2 linked regions of the Canis lupus familiaris genome follow. The protein of the gene in region 2 interacts with the protein of the main gene of each other region in a pairwise test. Links are inferred from orthologs where the notes say so. Each region holds a gene or a part of one and is shown on either strand. Other genes may lie near its edges.

Evidence for each region.
Region 1: the proteins of FHL5 (region 2) and CREM interact in a two-hybrid assay, tested with the Homo sapiens proteins (2 studies listed by BioGRID). The link is inferred for Canis lupus familiaris from reciprocal best matches to the Homo sapiens genes FHL5 and CREM.

What each region holds. Positions count from the first base shown.
Region 1 is NC_049223.1:1,973,429-1,976,659, forward strand, and holds the end of CREM (cAMP-responsive element modulator), read right to left. Parts: intron 1,076-3,231; coding exon 931-1,075; 3' UTR 506-930; downstream 1-505.
Region 2 is NC_049233.1:55,287,477-55,291,931, reverse strand, and holds the start of FHL5 (four and a half LIM domains protein 5), read right to left. Parts: upstream 2,917-4,455; 5' UTR 2,746-2,916; intron 2,159-2,745; 5' UTR 2,137-2,158; intron 1,375-2,136; exon of another isoform or gene 1,350-1,374; intron 1-1,349. UniProt on the Homo sapiens protein: May be involved in the regulation of spermatogenesis. Stimulates CREM transcriptional activity in a phosphorylation-independent manner.

The sequences.
Region 1 (3,231 bases), on a different chromosome or scaffold from region 2:
AATATAAAAATCTGCAAATGCCATAAATTCATTTATAGGCTCTTATTTTCATATAGGCATGTCACTAGATTCTTTCAATTCTTTCTTTCAATTCTTTCCCGAGGTATTTTTTTGTGGTTTGCTTTTATTGTACTGCTGGGTGCATTATCTTTGATCATCCTTTCCTAAAATGATTTTTAAAGACCCGCAAAAAATTTTATTGCATAGGACACTATTCATGACACAGAGGTTGGGTACTGCAAATATGTGGCACTGGAACAAGTCTTACAAATATTGCATTTTAAGAATTTGTTACATACTTTTTTTTTTTTTTTTTTTTTTTACAGCTTGTCTCTTTTAAAAAAATCGAAGTTATAGCTAAGAGTTAACTACAGTGAGGCATTTTAGGAATGTCAGAGGTTAGAGAATACGGTGAATGATACAAAGGAAAAAAGCCATAATTCTTGCTGGCTATAATATTGTATTGCCTTCAGAAGCAACTGTACATGTTGTAATCAGTTCATAGTTAAATATTTCTACTAATCTGTTTTAGGAGAGCAAATGTCTTTCAAAGTTTCGAGTTCCTCTATGAGCTTCTTGTTCTGAACTTCCAGCACTGCAACTCGACTCTCCAGACATTTTACATATTCTTTCTTTCGACGTCGACATTCTTTAGCAGCTTCCCTGAAAAAAAGTAGAAGCAAGAGGGCAAACAAAACATTTTTTTTGCGTGCTATTGACAAGCAGACTGAAGTAAGCTTGGTAAATCTGATCATGGCTGCATTCCAAATCTTGGAACAGCATACCCAATTCAATGTCAAACACTAAGCCACACTGGATTCTCAAGGGTCACAAGTGTCCCTTCCACAAGTCCACATGGCAATTAGTAGAATTGCTGCATCTCCTGCCTTGATTAGAGTTCACAGTAAACAAGGTCCAAGTCAAAGACAGTTACTCTGCTTTATGGCAATAAAGATCTTTGAGGGCTTTGAGTTCCTCAATGAGAGTCTTGTTTTGGTTTTCAAGCACAGCCACACGATTTTCAAGACATTTGACATATTCTTTCTTCTTCCTGCGACACTCCCGGGCAGCTTCCCTGGAACCAATACAAGGCAAATGACTATAGGAACACCCTCTCAGCACAGCCCAGACTGGCTCAAATGAACTTCTGCCCCCCAAACTCAACAGCCAATCAATGCCAGGGAAGGTTTGTACAAAGCCACACAACAAACGTAAGCAAGCACATGCCTTTTGTAAAATTAGTTTAGAACAACAGGAAAGACTTGAGAGCATGATCAATGTGTCCATCCTTCGTTGTAAATGGGTGTTTTCTTAGGGCACACATTCCATGGTAACAGTGACCAGAATGGTTTTTAGTCACCTAAAACAATAGGACCACATCCCCAAGTGGAATTTCTACAAAAACATTTACAGATCCTTTCAATTCTCTTACTTATCTTTGTCCACAAAAGGCCACATATTCCATCACAATGAGTTAACTTTATTTGGTCAAAAATGTTAGAAAAATCAATCCTCAGAAACTTGAAATGTCCATATTGGAGATTTTGTTTCTTCAAGACTGAATCTCAGTAAAACAAATAAACTCAACTACAACTGCAAGGAGCAGCTTATTGGCTAGAAAACAACCTGGATAAAGACAACAGTCAGCAAGTCACACACACATTTTCAAAAACCAAAATGAAATGGACTCTGATTCTGAAAATTAAGGAAAGGAAGAAGGGAGGGTACAGAACACAACACCCGATATTATTTGGATAATTTAAACACATGAAGTGAGAACACCACAATTAAAACTTTGGCAAGGAAGCTACTACATAACTCAACAGTATATTTCAAGACTTTTCCAATCACGTGCATTTACTACCCACTATATGGATCTTTAAAGCACTGTAGATGTGCCCAGAGGAAGGAACAGAGTGGCTGAAGCAACAAACACAAATACACAGATGAGATGAGTCAGTCATTTTACGCATAACCCCACCAAAAAATGATAAATACAGCCAACATTTTTCTCTTTCTCCTTTTTTTTTCAGGATGGGAGGGGGAGCAACTACATCATTTAACTCCTCTATAGAATATACCCTCTGATAACAGTGTTCTTTTGGAGGAGTCAGTTGAAAATAACTGCCTTTGGGGTATGCTTCATATCAAAAAAGCCTACATTGAAAGAGATAAACATATATTAACAAGAGTCATGTTGGACGTCTAAATGCCAGTAACTATAATGCCAGCTTGCACTGCTGCAATTCTGAACCAAGAGTGATGTGCACAACAGACTTGGCCAATTCTGTTTTATTTTTAGGATAGTTGACTAACAACTGGTTATCTGTTTTTTTTCTACATGGGACCAAGTGTCAGCAGAAAAAAAGACCTTGAAATCCCAGTGAACTGCAGGAAAAGATCAACCCCTACTTCCTAGCCAAGAACAATGCACTCGCCCTGTGAACTCACAAAGTTCTCAGACTTCTCAACTAGTTAACAAAAAAATTAAAAGATGTAAAAAGTGAACAGAATCTGATAAATACAGGTTGATTTAATCTAAATTATGCATAGGGAAATGTTGAGAATAAATCCAAGCACGCTCATAAATTTGCCAATCTTCTACAAAGGAACTAAAATACATTTAGTTATTAGCTAAAATACCTAGGTTTTCATGATTGAATACCAAGGTTTTCAAGATTGAATCTTACTAAATTCTAGATCTGGAAGAAAGATAATAATTTTACAAAACAAGTTACTATCAAATGAAATTTTACATATCTGATAGCAGTGCTGTGGGATATTTATCTTTTTATTTTCTATACCAAGGTGTACTATTTATTGTAAATATCATAACTCACATCCCATGTGGGAATGGGCACGTTACCAAAGTTCCAAGCCAAAACTTTAAATGATCACACCAGTAGATGGTACATTCTTAAGTACTTCCCAGCTATGGAAAACACCTGTTTCTTCTATTAATAGCTCAGTTTTCAGGCCTTGCATGTGTCTGGATATATCCTCAGCATGGAGAGGAAACACACGATAGAGAGGAAATGTTGACAAGGCTATAAAGAAACTATAAAGAAATATAAACTGTTGCTGGACTGGGAGAAATATCTATCAGATCTATCATAAATGCCAGCCAGAGAATAAAAAGGGAATGTATGAGAGGTCTTTTGTGTTAATAAGTATAACCTATATACTTTCCATGAAATTCAATCTGAAGCTTACTCTGGGGTCTATTTGAGT
Region 2 (4,455 bases):
ACCCTTCCATCCTAAGCCTGGCTGTCTACAAAAGGAATTGTTCTACTACTTGAATACTCCACTTTTATTTCCATGACACACAGTATGGCCATGAATGAACTAAGCACCTGCTTTAAAAATTAACCCTTAATCTAAAATCGTCACCTTAGCCATACCTGTCTTTGGATGAGGAGAGTTTAGAGAGACAGTTGAGGTGTATTTCCACCTTAATCTTTTTAAAGATTTGGTGAACCCCCCCCCACTGGCACCAAGGTATGCCTGAAGCTGAGGTTTCTGGCTTCACAGAAAACAGTGGTTCATAATCAGGACCCCAGAGAATAGCTGAGGGCAGATTTCAGGAGTCTATCAACCCCACAAATGTCATTAAAAAATCTATTTGCAATAGGCATTTTTGTTGTTTTGTTTTGTCAGATTCTTAAGGGCATCTGTAGTCTGTGGAGATAGATAAATGCTCAAACTGATCATTTCCAGGGGATCAAAAGGTAGCCAAGAAAAATGATGACAATCAGAGAGGAAAAAGACAATTACAAGAACACGGAAATACATGTTAGTTTAACTGACATCTGACTCAGAACTTCCCATGTGAACCCAAGTATCTGGTTTTCAATTCTAAAGAATCATGTTTCCTAGATTGAAAACATAAAAAACAAATCAAAGTTCTTCCAATGTGTTCTAGAAGAACATTTATTTTCAATATTACAGTAGAAAGTGACGAGGCTCACCTAAGGAACCCAAATTAATCCACCTTTTTTCAAAACGTTGTTGGCAAGTATAATAAAAATGAGAGGTAAACTTGTCAGTGAGGTGATGTGACATTAAAATGCAAATGTGCTGCTCTTAGGTAGGACAGGCTGGGAATTGGCAACTAATGAGAACATGTGGAAATAAATAGAGCAAGTGTGGAAAACAGACATCGGAGTTTACCTTCCCCATCAAACAATTTGGATCGTGGCTGCAGGCATATATCATAACAAATATGTTACGAAATACCTTGTTTGACACATGTTCGCAGTATTTGTGTTAAATATTAATCTATAGCCTTCGCTAATGAAAATGCTAGCATTTATACAGGATGATATTGTGGATGTGAAATGACAGCTAAAATGACTTGAGGATTTTCTTACGTTTTATTTATAAGGATTACACATTTTACTAATGATGTTTTTTTAGTTTCCACATTTTTGAACCTCAAACTGACAGCTGAGGGGTTGCATTCACTTTTCAAATGGCTGACAGACAGTAAAGAGGGCCTGACTAAAAACTGGTGAGGGAGAAAGTGTAAACATGTGGGATGCGTGTTTTTGCTGAAGTAACACTGTTTGCTTCAAGAAGCAATGCTTTTGGGATACCTGGAGTTGAGCATCTGCCTTTGGCTCAGGTCGTGATCCCGGGTCCTGGGATCGAGTCCCCCTCAGGGAGCCTGCTTCTCCCTCTGCCTGTGTCTGCCTCTCTCTCTGTGCCTCTCATGGATAATTAAAAAAAAAAAAAAAAAAAGCAAAGCTTTAGATTCCTATAACACATTATGTATTTGTGTTGGTCAGACACACAGATATTTATTTCACTGCAGTCTTCGAAAACCTCATATTAGGTACGGTCTTTAAGCCTGCATCTGGAAAGTAGGTGGATTTTTCTTGACGATAGCAGGATTCTCACTAACTCACTTAAAAACTGTAAGTGATTTCAAATGTACTCTGGATATATAGACTCAGCCATAAAATAACTGCAGTAATAAAGTTAGTCATTTAAATAAATTAAGCCAAATAAGTCCCCAGAATCCTGCCACCCCCTTTTTATGGCAACAAAGGTATACCCCCATGTATAAAGACCATTTTCATAACATAGGAGGCAACTCTAAAGAGTTATCTGACCACTATGCGGCCTCCGCATACATATTATTGAAATGAGAAATCTGAAAAACTCAGCTTATAAAATTTGACAACTGCTGGCTCAACTGACTTTTGAAAAGTTTCTGAACAACTTTGACATACGCACTTAACTTGCCAAGGAAACATTTTCTCATAAGCAGTCACTAGAAAGTCTATAAGAATGTCTCATACTTAAAAAAAAAAAATTAAAGCTGAAATACCATCTAAAGAAACACAAAGGAAACATTACGGAAAAGAAAACAAAACTTACTTTTTCTTGAGGCTGCTTTTTCCTGTGGTTTAAAGAGTATGGAAGGAGAATATGTGATGATTATTTTTTTTCCTCCAGCACATTTAAATGTCAAGTCCAAAAGGAACAGAATGGACCACCAGAGCTATCTGAGGGTCCCTCCCAATTGCAGCCTTTTCAGCTTTGCAGAAGGAAATAGGAGGGTGAGTGGGTTTCCTCCAAGTCTTGTGATATGCACATAGCTGACTCCTACTGGGCTGAAAAAGCACTCCTTGTCAATTTTTACTTTGAATTGTAACAAATTCTCTGCAGGATATCCTTAAAGGGAAATCCTGCCAAAATTAGTATTTGGAGTATCTGGATAAGCTCCAAAAAGTCTAAAATACAAAGTACATATACAGACAACTCATATACATGCTCAAATTTCCACTACCTAGGCTAAATTAAGGGCATATTTAAATTTTTAAAAAATTTCAAAAAGATGCTGTATTTTCTTTTTCCTTGATTAAAAAATATTTTTTGTTTTGTTTTCTGATAACTCTCTGAACCTATCTTTTAGGTTAGAAATGGTTGCAGTACAGAGTTTTCTGGTTGAACCATCTGGAAAGAGAGGAGGCCCCATGTTCTTACCTGCAGAATTTTTGGTAGCTTGAAAGAGAAGCCCTGGGTTGTGGCCCCTATCACTGCCTTCTTGGGAAGTTTGGGAACTTTGAGCCTTGGATTTGACTAGAATAACTCCAGGTATTTACCTGCTTCCTGAACCTGCATTGTGGACTCACCGTTACCTGCTTCTGCCTATTGCCCTATGAGCTGGCAACAATTGTTACGTCACGGCATGGCTGTGTGACTTCATTTAAGCAGAGACTTGGTCTTATGAAATCTTCAATTAAAAAAATAAAAAGGGGATAGAGATTTCGAGAGTTGGATCTAAAGAAATATTTGAATCTTGAACTAATCCAGAATACGTGGGTCAATTTGATCCATAAAGCAAATGACGTTGGCTCCTGGACTCTACTTGAGGCTGTCTCTTCGTTTTGTAAGATGAGGTGAGAGAAGAAATGTTCTGCCTTAAGTTCGTTTATTCCCAGACAAAAGCTGTTCTTATTCAAAGTGCTAATGGGAGTATATACTAATATTTTATGAGATCGAACTCAGGTATATACAATAGAAAATACCTTGAGTTAGGGAAATGCAAAACCGGTTGACTGTGTGCATTGCTCTTCACCTGAATTTGATGATTAAGATACGAAAAAAAAAAAAAAAACAAAAACTGGTGAGCAGCAACCACAGATTGATGCAGTGAAAAGGACACAAGTATGTTCAACTAGTAATAGATTCTGATCTTCATGATACTATTGCAGGCATTATTTTTATCCTTTCATAGGTGAGGAAGTGGAGTCCTGGAGATATAAAATTGCATATGTTCCCAGCTAATTATGGGGCCATTGCCCTCGTTTACGCCTGTGCTCCCTAAGAGGGTGATCTACATTCACTGATAAAACTTCTAATCCTCCTGTTTCCTCCTCAGACAGTTCCAGAGGTCTTCCACCTGGACCACTTCACCAAAAAGCTTCATGATGAAGTTCATCAAAAGGTCTTAATCGGCACTCTCAAGGGCACTGTCATTAAGCTTACCTGAAATTTCTCATTTCTGGATACGTCTGTTTCTTCTTTGAAATTTGCCCTTGGTTCACTAAGTTGCACTGATTTCCTCCTTGCGCTCACCATCCCGAGCCTCCTCTCCCTTTATTCATCTCACCCTTCCCCAGAGCTTCCTCCACAGTTGAGTGTGCCTCTCTGTGCACTGACCATTGCGTTCCTTAAGGAGACCATTAGTAATGATAGGACTCCCACACCTGTACTCTCAATCGTTATCACTAAGATCCCAGACCTATATCCGGTTGTCTGTTGGCCTTTGTCTTCAGGTCCTCGGGCACCTCAAACTGGAAAGTCCCTAACAAACCACCTTCTTCACCCCACTCCAAACCTGCTGGTCTGCTGGAGTTCCTCTCTCAGGGTATGACAGAGTCATCCAAGCCATCATCTTAGACTGTCCTCACTCATTCTCCACCAACCTCATTCATCCCCATCCCCAACTTCTGCTGGTGCTACTTCGTTAGACCTCCCTCAAATTTGTCATTGTCCCTGCATTCTGGTCCTCATATTTCTCACTTGGATTACTTTATCAGTCCTAAAATGATTGGTATCTGCCTCAGTTTGGTCCCCTTCTATCATTTTGTTACATGACACTGTAAAACAATATTTTAAAATATCAGTTTATCAAATTTATAATTTGATACATGCTTTTTGCAGAAAACCTGTAATAAGAATTGAAAAAAT